2 separate regions of the Mus musculus genome follow, and region 2 is reported to be linked to region 1. The links are microRNA targets in miRTarBase. Many come from high-throughput screens and were not tested one by one. Region 1 holds a microRNA gene; the other region holds the end of a gene's coding sequence.
What was found. Region 1 holds the annotated microRNA mmu-miR-378a-3p (ACUGGACUUGGAGUCAGAAGG, at 4,812-4,832, opposite strand). A microRNA usually pairs through its seed, bases 2 to 8, with sites in the 3' UTR of a target mRNA and lowers its output. Matches are read on the target gene's strand: a 7mer-m8 pairs with bases 2 to 8, a 7mer-A1 pairs with bases 2 to 7 and ends in A, and an 8mer does both.

Region 1 (7,116 bases):
AGAGGGGGTGGGGGGTGGTCGGGAAGAGTTAGGAAGAGAAAAACATGATCAAAACATATATAAGCTCGTGTGACTTCCAGTGGTTAAGGAGGTTTCACAGTAGATAAACTACAGATCAGGATTCGAACTCAGTGGAGAGCATTCCAGAGATCCGCAGGCCCAGCACACTGGAAAGCAGGGCTGAAGCCATTAGGTCTAAAGATGGGAGAATCCATACACAGCACAGGCAGGGGAGCTGGCTTTTGCAGGTAAATAGAAATGGCCAGACAGACATGAGAACACAGCAAAGAACAGCACGAACCCAGGTCCCTGGAGGAAGTCTCCTAGCACATTCTGGGGTGAGCCGTAGAAGAGTATACATACTGTTATCCCCAGTTCTGTATCTCTACCGACTAATGTTGGGGACATTTGTTCAAGGTCATGGCACTTGTAAGTCCTGATTTAAAATCTGGGAAAAGTCAACAACTCAGGTTCAATCCTGGCGCCTAGGCTCCAACTTCAAGGACCTGATGCCCTTTGCACATCAGACTTCAAGTTCGGCTTTAAAGTTGTAGGGGGCTGAGCCTTCAAAATATGAGAAGATGCAAAGAAATCTTAAATCACGTTACTACCCATTCACACCTACATACTGCACGATTGCAGTTACATGATACTCTGAAAAAGGCAAACCTGTGGACACAGTAAAAACACCAGTGGTTGGAGCAGCAGGAGCAAGGGAAAGGAAAGGCAGACTGCAGAGGGCTCTTAGTGGACAGCCCTACAGTGCTGTGACGGACTGTTACTACACACTTGTCCCAGTCCACGGCATGTGCTCACTAGGAGTGAGCCCTGTGGTGAAGGTAGGGAGAGCTCTGGGCAATAGGGATGTATGGGTTGTCAGCTGTGAGAGTGGACTTCTGGTCAGGAACACAGACAACTGGGGAGGCTGTGTATGTTGAGGGGAAGAGAAGCCTTCTACAGAAAAAAAAATGTCTCTACCTTGCTCTTGTGTGACCAAGACCAAGGGCAAAAGAGAGAAGACACTGTCTGTCGTGGCAAAGCCTGTTAGCCGTTAGGGGAATCTGGCTGTAGATGGGACAAGGACTTAGGACAGGAGGATGATTGAGAATGGAAAGGTCAGCCCAGTGCAAAGGATTTCACATCCCAGTGGTGTCCAGAAGATGACTCTGAGCTGTTCCTCTGCCTTGGTGAGTCAGAGGGAAACTGGCTGTGAGCATCTGTATCACCTTCATATAGCTCAAATGAAATGATGCTTCTCTTCTAACAAAAGCAATGATTGCAGTCCAGGACTGAGGGCACTGTAATTCTGGCTACCCTGGACGCTGAGGCAGGAGGATCACAGATTGAAGGCCAGCTTGAGCCACTTAGTGAGACCCCATTTCAAAATAAAAAGTCAAAAGAGGGCTAGGGATGGGGCTCTGTGATAGAATGCTTGTCTAGCCTTTTCAAGGCCTTATGTGCAACCCCCCAGGATAGCAAACCAATCACCCAAAAGACTGCATGTACAGGACCAGATCAAAATTTAAACCTCCCCCATTAAAGGGCTTCAGTGAGAAAACTCCACATTGTAGAAGGTCAATGCTCATTTTACATCCATTATTTTTATTCCTGATGGGGTGTGTTAGCCCCATTTCGCAGGTTGAGAAACTGAGGCCTGGAGCAACAGAAGTACTTTAGTACCAAGGCAGTGTGAGTAGACTGGCAAGGAAGTGAGTTCTTAGAGACCATGAAACCTTTAGGACTGTAAAACAATACCTAGGTCATACGGATCTTTGTGAGGAAGAACTGTAATGGTGCCAACTGATGGCTCGGCAAAGACCATGTGACCAGGAGGGCACTCTATAAATGCTGCTGCTTAGGAAGGGAAGACAGCTGTTAGCACTGCAATGCTCTTGTCATGACCTCACTTCCAAGCCTGAGGCCCCATCTGCGGGGCGGCTTCTGGCTCAAGCCAGTGCTCCATCTAAATGAGAGGGAAGGAAAAGGGTGACTCATAGCCTAGTGTAGTGTAGTTCCTGGCTGACCGGCACCAGTTGGAGAGAGGAGGCCCCAAGGCCAGGGGGAAACACGAGCCCCAGGTGCCCAACTGCTAGGCTGGATTTCTTAGCCATGCTTACCCACCAGCATCAGCCAGAGGGTCCAAAGAAAGTGGGGCTCGGGCCTCTGGGGAGCATGCCCCCAGATGTACTCAGATGAAGAAGTTACCCTGCTCCCAGTCCATGCAGGCCAAAGGTGGGCAAATGCATCTGCCTCCACACAGCTGCAACTCTGACTTGGACAGCAGCTGGCCCTGGCTTCAGTGGCAGTGGAGGTTGAATTATACCAGACCCATCAAGGAGCACTGGGACTTCAAGTCGTTTCTCCAGTCCTCCCTGTGCCCAGGACCCCTCAGTGTGCTCAGGTCCCTCTTAACAAAGATCCATCTGCCAAGTAGAACCCAAAGATCCATCTGCCAAGTAGGACCATGGTACTGTACGGAACCAGCAGGGAGTGATTGTCCATGGGAAGGGATTGAGCATGGGGTGCAGAGGGTGTTGGCATGGTTACAACTCAGACCCATAGGAAAATGGCAAAGCACCCTGCACCGCTCCACCCCCATCAGTGGGGGGCTCTGAAGCATGGCAAAGCCTTCCTGGGGGTCCAAGTGTGAATGTTGACAATGAGGCCAGAAAACGTCCACCCTTAGTCGTCTTCCCTTAGATACTACAGTCTGAAGACTGTTCCCCAAGGAAGATGGCTCCTACCAAAGGTAGCTAAACCTGGCCCCTTGATACAGAAACAGACCATAAATCCCACCTCCTTAATTCGGCTGTATGCAATAAATGCCACCTCACTATACCACAGTATATAATACACTCTGAGCATCTGAGAGTTTCTCCATCAGAGAGCCCCATCCAGCGGATCCCAGTCATTTCTGTGTCTCCATGTGTCCCTCTTCATTCCCTCACTGCCCTAGTCAGGTTAAGTCCCTGGAGCCATGCAAGGGGGCAGCCACTGAACATCAAAGAAACGCACATGAACGGCAAGAGTAACAAAGTATATTGTTGACCAAATTCGTAGAATACAAATGGCATGAATAACTGGGGTATGGCCAGCCAGGCGTTTCCACACAATGCTGATGAGTGTGTAAATGAATGCAATCTCTCTAGAAGACGATTTCCTTATGTGTTTACCAAATGCCTGCGTGGTTCCTTTGACAGAGCAATTTCCCTTCTAGGAATATAAATGAAGGAAAGAACACATGTACACAAATATATTTGTTTCGGCGTTGCTCACAGTAGGATAAACGCAAGCAACCAAGCGACAGCAGAGGATTGATTGACACATGTTGGCTCAACGTCCCATGAAATACTATACAGCCATTAAGATATTAGGCACAATATTTATTGATGAGGAAAGATGTTCACAGCATATTGTGAGGAGGAGAAAAAAAAAAAGCAAGTTACAAAACAGTGTGCTTGCAAGATACAAATTAGTATAACAGAATAACTTCATTTATCATTTTCTTCTCCCCCCACCCCCCAAAATAACTGGTCTATATGAATAGGAAAGAAAAAAAACATCTAGAGATACATAGACTTTAAAGCAGCTATCTTTGGATAATATTACATATTTCTGGACTGGTGAGAGGCCTCAGCAGGCAAAGGCTGACCACCTGAGTTCAATCTCCATGTCCCATTTTGTGGAAGAGAACAAAGTTCTGCACCTCATGGCGTCGTCCTCTGACCTCCACACACATGCCAGAGCACACACATGCAAACACACATACAAAATTAGCTAATTTAGACAAATGTAAAATATAAAACATGACTCCCTTTTCATGACACTTAGCAGTGTTTTCTAACACTGTTAAAATTATTTTTAAATAAGGGTTGGACTTGCTGATTTATAATGTCCTTGTCGTCTCTGACACTGTCACAGTTCTTCCAGGCTCTCAAGTGACTTCAAATAATTCCTTTATTTGCTGGGCTTCCTGCATGGCCTTTGGAGTCAAGGCTTTTGCTAGCAGCTGTAGCCCTCGACAATGCCCCCTCTCCCATGTTCACTACCCAGCTGTCTTCTCTGTCAGCCCATGAGCTTGTCTGGCAAGGCTCAGCTGTACCCCTATTTGTAGTCCATGTACCTCATCAAGAGCCAGGCAAAGGGGCATTGCTCAGCATGGTGACAGGTGCCATGTGGGCACACAAAGATAAAAGACTCAACTTGGATCCTACTGGATAGACTCAAACACATAAAGTGCTTGGCTTTATAACGAACTATGAAAGGCAGAAGAGAGAGCAGGGCAAGCTGGCAGGAAGGCCTACTAAGGGAGAAAGCCATGCGGGATGGTAGGCAAAGGCCCACTAAGCAAGGGGTACAGCTGGAACAAAAGCGAAGTCAGCACAGAGTCTTTGGAACCCAATCTTCAAACATTTCCAAAACGCTTCCACAAGCCTGGTTCTGATAAATGGCTACTTTGGCCCCAACGAATAAACGTTAAGTCTCTCAAACAGATCTCTATAATCTAAGCCTGGGTTAGCCACCAAAGACAAGAAGAACTCTTTGGGGGAACAGAGACAATCCACTTTCCCCAACCCTCCCGAGGGGGAGAGCTGGGGGGAGGGGAGGGTCTGGGAAGGGCTGTGGGGAAGAAGCTGGACAGCCAGACAGCTCACATGCAAACACAGGCTCACCCCCACCAGCAGGCCTCTGGCTTCTCCGTCAGCACCACACCGGCCCCATTGGACAGATGGAGAAACACGGCTGGAGAGTTAAAATGGCTTGCTCCAGGATCACCCAGCCAGAGAGCGGGGAAGGTGACTCCACTCAGGCCTTCTGACTCCAAGTCCAGTGCTATTTCGAGGTAACACACAGGACCTGGAGTCAGGAGCCCTGGGTGGCTCTGTCACCCCCTGGCTGAGTGGTCGTGGACAAGCAGTTCACCCCTCGCAGCCTCTTCCCCAACTGTAAAATGAGGCGGCGGGCTGCCCCGCCCATTCCCGCTCAGCTCTGAGCCTTCTAGGGGCGGCTGCAAAGCTCCTGGTATCAATTACATTTCCCAAGTTGGCCCGGCAAAGATCACCCGGAGATCTTCGGCCTATCACGTGATTAAGTTAAAAGGGGGTGGGGTGGGGGGGAACAAACGTCCCAAATTAACTTTCACTGCACTGCTTCTGCTGACAACTGATTACCCAATTTTCCAGATTCCTTTGGTGAAGCTAGGAAATTACCCTACTGAGTGGGATAGGCTGGTGGCTAAAAGGGCAAACAGTTAATTAATTATCGGTGAGCCAAACACCAAAAGCTAGAGTTAAAGTCGAGGGTCCTGTCCAGAGCAGACAATCTTGGTATGTGTGAAGGAGTCTCACTGGCTATTTTGGGCTACTCGGTTCTTAAGTGTAGAGATATGGACACGACTCCAGGCAATCGAGATCTGGGGTGCAGGTCTTCTCCCGGACCCCCATGCCCCTACCACCTCCAGCCCTGGTTCCACGCTGTCCACCCCCGGGGTGCTAAGGCCCGCCTTGGGCAGACATAAACACCGGGCGTGTGACCGTGCCCGGCGACGCTGCCCGGCGCTCCACTGCAGTTTCGTCAGAGGTAAAGGTACGCGCCCGGCGCGCGCGGCGTGTGCACAGGCTCAGGGGACACACACACACACACACACACACACACACACACCCGCGCACAGCCCGCTCATTAACACCGCCTCCCGACCTGAAGAAGCGCGATCACCCGCCACCATCCCCTTGGGCCTCTGCTATGAACCCACCCGAGAGCGCGCCAGCCACACACCACGCGGCCCCCGCGGCTCCGGGACGCCACGGCGTTTGCAGAGAGCTATGGCCCGCCGTCTCCCGCGCGTGGCGGGCTTCCTCTCGGCGACACCCCCGCAACGACGCCTGTCCTAGTCGCCAGCTTCAATTCGCCACCGGGAGGTTTCCCGGAGCAGAACGTCTCTCGGCCGCTGCGTCCCCCCTCCAAGTCGCGTCTCACCGCAAGGAGTCAGCTTGCAAGCCTCTCCCCGCCCACCCGGTCCCATGACAGCTGCTACCGCCCAAAGACTGGTAGATTCTAACCAGAAGCAAAGTTTCCCTCTCTCCTCCCACCTCCCGCCCCCCCCCTCCGCCTTCCCCTCCCTCCCAGTGTTATGCAAAACGGGCCGGCACAAACGCTTCCACACCAGGTACTCAGCTTGTCCCCGCGAGTCCCACGGGTTTCCGCCTTGCAGCCCCTCTCCGGACCCAGGCGTGTCCCCGCATCCGGGGTCTCCTCCCAGGCTCCGTCGCACCCCCAGCCTCTGGGGAGACACACAGACAGGAGCTGGGAGCAAAAGCCCTAACTCGGGAGCCAAACTTTAGGCTTGCAACAGGCACGGGCTAGAGGGGGAAACGGAGGAAGAGGTGAGGGCCCCCACGCTGCGTGCACACATGTTCCCGCAACTGCTTGTCCTAGCAGCAAACCCCATTTTATTCTCCAAGCCCACAGCTTCCTCGTCCTCGCTCCCGAACACCAGAGCACACACTCCTGTCATGCGCTTGTAGCCGGTGTGGCTCCCAGCCTTAGCCAGAGCCCGGGACGCCGCCTCACCTTCCCTTCCCCCTGCATCGTGGAGCGCGCGCCGGGAACGCGCGCCGCAGGGGGACCCAGGCACCCCCTAGATAGTCCTTCCGCCCGGATCCTGCCTTCCTCGCTCCTAACGGGTCTCCTCCGGTTAGTGAGAGCTGGAAGACGCAATCTCCGCCCGCATGTCCACGTGCCCTGCCGACCCCTATTCCCCTAGCCAGCAACTGACAGGAAACTCTGCGCTGCCGGAGCAGGTGGGGGGCTATGGGGTACCCGATGCTGGAGAACCAGGGGACTCCAGGGCTACCGATCGCCTCCCTTAGCCCCGCCACAAGTGCACGTGAAAGTACGGCAGCAAGTGCCAGGCGCCGAGGACGCGCCTACAACACCCAGAGCCAGCCTTTAGGGATCCCCCGACCCTGGCTGGATTCTACCTGCGGGAGGAATTGTAGTACCCCTCAACTTTGCCAGTGGGGGACAGTAGACTCTAGGTGGCCCTGGCTGTGTCCCCCAATGCTACAGCATGCGCCGGCGACCTGCAGCTCGCTACGCCTGTAACGGAGCGCAGCA
Region 2 (7,099 bases), not on the chromosome of region 1:
AGGATTTGAGAGCATCCGGGACTGGACGCAGGTACAGTAAGAAGCTAAAGTCCTGCTCCTCAGAGACATCCAGTGTCAGAAGGACATTGTCACCATCTGTAGACACATTGAGCCAGGGCAGGACTAGTGGGAAAAGCAGAGAGAGATGGGGAAGTTCAGACTCTCTTCACCCCCTCTGCACAGCTAAGCCTGGGCCATACTCACCAACTGCCCCGTTAGAGATTCCATCAAACCCCTGGAAGGGTTTGGACTAGGAGGCCCTTGGAGGACAGACTGTATCTCCATCTCAGACTGGGCTTTGTCCCCAGACACAAGCCCAGAGCCAAGCCCATAGAGGCTCCAGCTTGCTTCTTGGGGACAGCTCCTCTTCTGCAGCCAGTAGAATCCTGCTACCTCCTTAATGCAATCACTGTCCCTAGACTCTGCTTATGCCCCCACATAGTAATCCCAATATAAGCTAGTCTTTACAACAGCTTCCACGAACCTTAACCAGGCTAGCTTCTGAGACCTCTCAAACCTAATATGTTAGTACCTCTATCTTGAATACTTTGCTGCAAACACATGAGATGCCTTCACATTCCTTAAGCACACTTTGCCTTGCTCCTGCCCTACAGCCTTTGCACAGGCTGTTCTCTTCCTATGTGACTCTGTCTCTCAAATACAGGGTTTTTTCTTCATATCCTTCATTACAGTGAGGCTGTCTCACTACTGGAACTCCCATCCTTCCCATCCCCCTCTCTTGAATATTCTCCATAACTTGTCACCATCTAATATACTGTATATTCTACAGGAATATACTGTATATATCCCAGGAGTTTACTGGATCTTCCCTCAACCCTTTTCTAATCCCAATTCCCATTTCCATAAAGACGGGAAGTTTTATCAGGTTTGCTTATCAATTTACTTCTAGTCTATAACTATGTCTGGTACGGAGTAATTACTCAGTCAATCGTTGTTGAATAAGGAAGGCACTCACCACTGAGTGACAAGAGGAGATGCCTGGTGTGTGTTTTCAAAGCTCTGGTGTCTAGTGATTTGTATGGAGTGCCAAAGAGGAATGCCAAAAAAAGAAAATGGAGTTGAAGAGAAGAAAGGGGACTATTTAATAGTTTAAAACCTGTCGCACACCTTCACCTTGTGCTAGCTGTAGAAGTCATTAAGCACTAACCCAACGGAGCCAGATGTGGCGAAGCCCACCTGCAACCCTGGCTGCTTGGGAGGCTGAGGCAGGAAGATTGCAAGTTCAAGCCCAGCATGGACAACATAGCAAGAGCCTGTCAAAACCAAAACAGCAAAACAAGGCAAAAACAACCTAACTACACAATCACTTCACTGAACTAGACATTAAAACCAGAGCACTTTGCCCGACACGATGGTGCACATTCAATCCCAGCCCTTGGAAGGCGGAGAGGGAGGTGGGTCTGTGTGAGTATGAGACCAACCTGGTCTTTATAGTGCCAGAGCTGCACAGTGAAACCCTGTCTCAAAAAAAAAAATCATTGTACTTATATCTTTTTAAAATATATGCTACATATGCATGAGAAATTCTCTTTAAAAGAAAATACAAAACAAAAGTAACATCAAAATCTCCTCATTTTTTGGTCGCTGTTTCAGGTTTAATAGTTTACCCACTCTGGTCAGTCAGGAGAGGCACCAGAATCTTAACAGTGCTTTGGGCCACTAGATGTTCCTGGGATCAATGAGCATTTGTAATATTTCTAGTGCCTGACATACATAGATGAAGCAATTCTGCAGTTCATGTGGAATGAGCAAATGAATGAATGAATGAATGAATGAATGATAGAACATGTCCTGTGACTTTTGGAACCTGGCATCTCTGAGGCTGATGTCAACCCCAAGCATCCAATTGTGTAAACTCCAGATCCTGCCCTCCCCCACCCAGCCCACTGTCCCTGGCCCCTACCCCAGCAGCTCTGGATGCTGTCCCGGACTTCAAGACCCCTGCAGTCTGGGGAGAGATCACAGAAAAACGTCCAGTGGGGATGGGGACCAAGGCAAAAAGGGAAGCAGTGCAAACCATGGGGAGATCCTGAGAGGGGCTGCCTGTCCCCTGAAGACCACCCACGCTTACACAGGGCACAGAGCACCTATCCCAGGGGCTAGAAGCACACGAAATTGACTGAGGAGGGTGTCAGCTCAGAACCTTGCCTGAAAATGATGGGACCAGAAAGATGGGGAGTGACCAAAGGGACTGCAGACTGGGGAACCAGGACTTTGGGGTGACTCACCAGGCAGCTGCTGTGTGAGGTTGAGCTCTTTCTGGTACCTGGGCTTCGTGTAGGACCAGATCTGTACCTCAGCCCCAAGACTAGCCTCGAAACAGTCAAATACCGCAGAACCCTATGAGGAGAGGGTGGTGGATGGCTGGAGGTGAAGGGCTCAGAATGCAGGCCAAGGTCTTGGGCTCATGTGAGTAGACCACTCTGCCTACCTACTGGCCCCATTTCCAGCCAATGACTGCATCTATACTATCTAGCTTGAAATCTATCACTATAGTTTCTTTCTTTTGAACAGCTTCCCAGTTCTAAAGCACGTATCTCCTACAGCTGTATTGGCAGGCCTGGGATTAACCAGGCTATCTGAGTTGCTGCCTACACCTGCTGTCATAGACCACTTGGTCAGAGGGAAGCTGATTAGATACGCCAACGCAAGCGTGGAGCAGCCCCCGCAGGCACACATCAGAGGTGCTCATGGCTGCTCTGTGACATAAACTAGGCAGGCTAAAAAAAAATTGTGTGCATGTGTGCGTGCACACATGCCCATGTGTGTGTGTGTGTGTGTGTGTGTGTGTGTGTGTGTGTGTGTGTGTGTGTGTGTGTGTGTGTGTGTGTGTGTGTTTGCTGGGTGTCAAACCCAAGGCCTGAATGAAGCATGTTAGCCAAGAACTCTACCACTGTGCTACATTCCCAGGTCTTTGTTCTTATTTTATAGCCATCAAAAGTTTCAAAGGACATTTCATGAAGGAAGTTATAAATTGCAAGTAAGCACGTGTGGTGGTTTCTATATGCTCGGCCCATGGAGTGGCACTACTAGGTGTGGCCCTGTTGGAGTAGGTGTGGCCTCATTGGAGTGGTTGTCACCAAGCCTGGCAGCCTGAGTTCAATCACAAGGACCCTCATGATAAAAAGGGCAAAACTGACTCTGTACCTTGTCCTCTGCCCTCTATATGAACCCCCAGTACACACACACACACACACACACTAAATAAATAAATAAATAAATGTAATTTAGAAGTATAAATACTGCTGCCACACACATGCACACACAAATTTCCAGGTATAAACCATGACATATATGGCAGAATGGCTAAAATTTTAAATTTTAAATGCCAAGTGTTGGCAGAGATGGAAGCACCCGGAAGCCTCATGTGCCGCCTGTGAGAAGATGAAATAAGATTGTCCCAGAGGACTGCTTAGTGACTTCTCACCCAGTCACACGTGAGCCAGGAGTGTCCTTACCCTCATTTTATAGACAGAAAAACCACCACAAAAAAAGCCAAGAGGCCTCACTGCTCAGATCAGACCCAAGACTTAAGGAAACAGTGCACGAGATTGTTAAGGGAATCTGGGATTCTGGAGGTGGCTCTTCTCCTCAGGAGGAGCCCTTCACATACCACGGACTGACCAGGCTGCACCAGGTCAGCGGGCACCTGGACCTCCAGCAGGGCACAGCGGGCGATGGGGTAGGCCTGGAAGGAGAGCACCACCTGGGCCTGGAGAGAGGCTGAGAGCAACAAGCAGGGGTCAGCCAGGCCATGGGCCACGGGAAAGACCCTGACTAGAAGCAGTAGTTGGGCCAGCTGGCTCCTCACCGTTCCTAGACTCCTGGAGTTCTGAATCAGACTTTCCAGCTTCTTCAGGCTCTGCCCAGTGCCCTGCAAGAAGCAGAGAAGAGAGCAAAGCCCAAGTCGGGCATCTGCTCTGGGCTGGTTCGGGCTTAGATTCCCTTGCATAGATGCCATGGCGCATAAGCAGAGGCCTGGGGGAGAGCAGGCTGGCCTGGAGGTACCTGGACCAGTATCTTAGACATTGCAGATGTCCCCAGAGTCTGCAATCCTCATGCCTTCCCCAGACAGGCTTATGTGTGCACTCAGTTACGGGCGGGCTTCCTCACTTACCATGCACGGCCAAGTGGACCACCACACGGACACAGAGGGCGCAATCTGTCTTCTGTGGACACCTCAGCACCAGCTCCGTCTGCAGGCGGGTAGGCACTAGCACAGGGCCTGGGGCAGACTGGAGGCTTCCAGGCAGGCAGAGCACGTCACCATCTGGGTGTGAAGGGGTGGGGTGGAAGCTGGTTTGGTTTGTGATACCTGCAGAGGGCAGGGGAGCTTCCAGGCTGAGCGCCAGCAGTTGCTTCCCTTCAGCTCGCCTGGAAGTCATTCTTTTCAAGTAGCAATACTTACCCCAGAGGTGGCAGGAGAGGCCCTGGGAAGGAAGAAAAAGTCAATTCAATTCAAGCGCCTTTCCTTGCTTGACAGCCCCCTAGCCACTGCCTATCTCCTTCCAGCGCTCCTTGTCCTAAGCCCTTCCCTGAAGAAAAGACCAATTCTTGTCCCCTTTCCATCTTCTCTTCCCCCATCAGCACCAGACAGACCAGACAGGGCAGTTCTGATAGAGGCAGTGACAGGAGCCAGACTCGGGCTGTGATGAGGCAGAGACTGAACTCTAACTCTGAGCCTTTCCCAGCCTCCCATAGTCCCAGACTCACTAGAGAGCAGCGTGCAGTGTCCTGAGGCTCCATCAGTCTCTCCAGAGAGACGACCACAGGGTTTCGGCCCAGTGCCAAGGACAGCAGGAACCAGGACACAGGCATCTTCCAGGTGCCGGACAGCACCCAGGCCTGAGGCCCCGTCCTGCCCCCCCAAGGGGGGGCAGACCCCTCGCCCCTGCTGACAATCAGCCCCGTGTCCCTGGGAGAGAGCAAGGGCTAGAATTCCTCTCCAGCCATGCTTCCCCACTCCAGTGAGCCTGGACTCCAGGCCCAGTTTCAGCTGGAGTGCTTTCGATTTGGCTCCCAGCAGGCAGTGGCTGTTCCCGCCCCGCCCTGTCCCGTCCCTCCCACCAACTCCAGGCTTAGGAGCCAGCAGCTTTGGACCTGGGTGGTGGCTTCTCCTCCTCCTCCTTGGCTGGTACCTGGCTGGGAGGAGCCCTGGGAAGGCAGCACAGCTGGACTCACTACTGTGTAAAGGAACTCCTACCCCGGATCTCACCAAAAAACAAAGATTCTGATCGATCTGGTCAGAAAGACCCCAGGCTTGTGGCATGCCGGGTGTTTCCACTTCCTGTATGACCCTGGGATCCTAAGGTCCACTGGGTCCCCTCTTACTATGCTCAGGTTCTTCCCTGGGTCTCAGTGACAGTGACCCTCGTGAAACAGGAGCTCTGAAGACAACGGGCTGCTGTCAAAGGGCACCAGAAAGTGAGCTCCCCACTGCCTGGCCCAGGTTCAGGGGAGACGGAGGGGCAGTGAGGCCCGGGAGACCCCTTACTGGGCTGAGTTCTGTCGAGCTGTTGCTGGCACTGGAGGAGAGCGATGGCCATGCTGCCTAGCTTCCGGTTTTCCTTTGCTCTTGGAAGAATCATAGTGAGGAGAGGATCCAGGAGGCACTGGGTCCCCCTTGCCTTTCACAGGCAATGCTTGTGGGAATGAAAGGACTTGGGCTGGTGAGCTGTTCTAGAACAAGCTTAGGGCAGGCTTCCTGACTGGCCCAGGCACACAAGAGCAGCACACTGTTCCTTAATGTGTCTACTACGTTTGCTTTTATTCATCTCTCTTACCAATTGGGTGATGTAGGCTTCTAATCCTAGCACTCCGGAGACAGAGGCAGGTAGATAAACCTCTTTGTTCCAGGCCATCAAGGGCTACACAGTGGGCTTCAGTCTCAAACAAACAAACAAACAAATCAAACTACCTCTGGACGAGGCCTCCCTCTGGGGAAGGTGAGGGACTCCTGGCTGACGGGGTTTCTCTCAACTCTGCCGAGCAGAGCACCTCCCCCCGCCCCCACCCCCTTCAAGCGCTTGACACTTAGGCCCTGCTTTCCAATCCTGGCCTAGCCCTCCAGCCTGAACTGGAGTGCTCGATGCAGATGGTTGTCTTTTTTTTTTTTTTTTTTTTTTTCAGTTTTGAAAAGAAATGGAAAAATCGTCCCTCCTTCTCAGAAAGGGCTGAGGACCTATCAGGAAAGCCCAAGTTCCTCTCAGGAACTCTAAGAGGGAGCAAATGTGAGGGAGGTTGGTCAAGTGTGGGACTTAAGGTGAGTCTTACGGTTTGGGGGACAAGAAGCACCCCCAAAGAGTACATGTGTGAGGCCTCATTCTGGAGTTCCTGCTGTTGCTACACAGGCTGAGGCTACAGACAGCTGAAACCACAGGGACTATTGGTTGAGCCTTGGTAGTCATCTTTGGCAGCCTCAAGTTCCAGCAGGTGACACTGCTCCAGACGGTTTTTCAAGCACCGCTTAGCCCCAAGGTGACTCCAGCTGGAGGCTAGGGTGGCAGGCTGAGCATCCAGTGCTCTCAGCAGGCGCGGCAGGTCACGAAGCAGGCGGTAGCGTGGCAGAGCGCGCAGCGGCCGGGGGATGTCACCTTTGGCGCAGAGGCGACTGAAGTAGGCGAGCAGCAGCGGACGTGGAGCAGCGCACAACAAGGTGCGAAGGGACGCAGCCTGCGGGTCACCGCTGCAGGCGGTGCTGGGACCCGCACAGTTCCACAGGAGCAGCACTGTGCCCTGCTCCCGCGCCACGCGCTCCCGCGCTGCCCAAAGCCACGGCAGTGGTCCAATGCGTGCTACGTGCGTCCCTTCCCAGAGATCCACGATCACGTCGCGTCCACCTCCCAGCGCCGTCCGCAGCAGTTCGGCCAAAGCTCCCACCAGGCGTCGCTGTGCCTCTGAGTCCGCTGCATGTAGGAGTAAAACTGGCCTTGTTCGACCGGAGCCTAGGGACCGGAGCAACAGCTGAGTAGGGTAAGGGGCGTCTTGGGAGAGGAGGGGGAGTAGCGAGGACAGCCAGCGTAGCCCTCCCCTTGGGGACTCTGGCCTACATTCTAGGGTGTCCTGCATGCACAATGTG

Region 2: miRTarBase lists Il17re as a target of mmu-miR-378a-3p. Seed matches in the 3' UTR shown: 7mer-A1 at 5,940-5,946.

The regions. Positions count from the first base shown.
Region 1 is chr18:61,393,027-61,400,142 of GRCm38, forward strand. It overlaps Mir378a (microRNA 378a), which reads right to left and starts at 4,874; the gene lies at 4,809-4,874. All of the region lies in intron 1 of Ppargc1b (peroxisome proliferative activated receptor, gamma, coactivator 1 beta), which reads right to left. It overlaps Gm52354 (a long non-coding RNA gene), which reads left to right and starts at 6,133. Exons shown (of 2, transcript XR_003952648.1): 1 at 6,133-6,166; 2 at 6,462-7,116.
Region 2 is chr6:113,469,423-113,476,521 of GRCm38, reverse strand. Il17re (interleukin 17 receptor E) reads right to left here. Exons shown (of 15, transcript NM_145826.6): 15 at 5,764-6,965. The coding sequence ends at 6,379. It overlaps Il17rc (interleukin 17 receptor C), which reads right to left and starts at 5,067. Exons shown (of 18, transcript NM_178942.1): 1 at 4,735-5,067; 2 at 4,430-4,451; 3 at 4,139-4,291; 4 at 3,833-3,895; 5 at 3,635-3,744; 6 at 2,250-2,361; 7 at 1,925-1,969; 8 at 1-123. The coding sequence starts at 4,839. Gm52872 (a long non-coding RNA gene) reads left to right here and starts at 6,918. Exons shown (of 2, transcript XR_003956348.1): 1 at 6,918-6,993.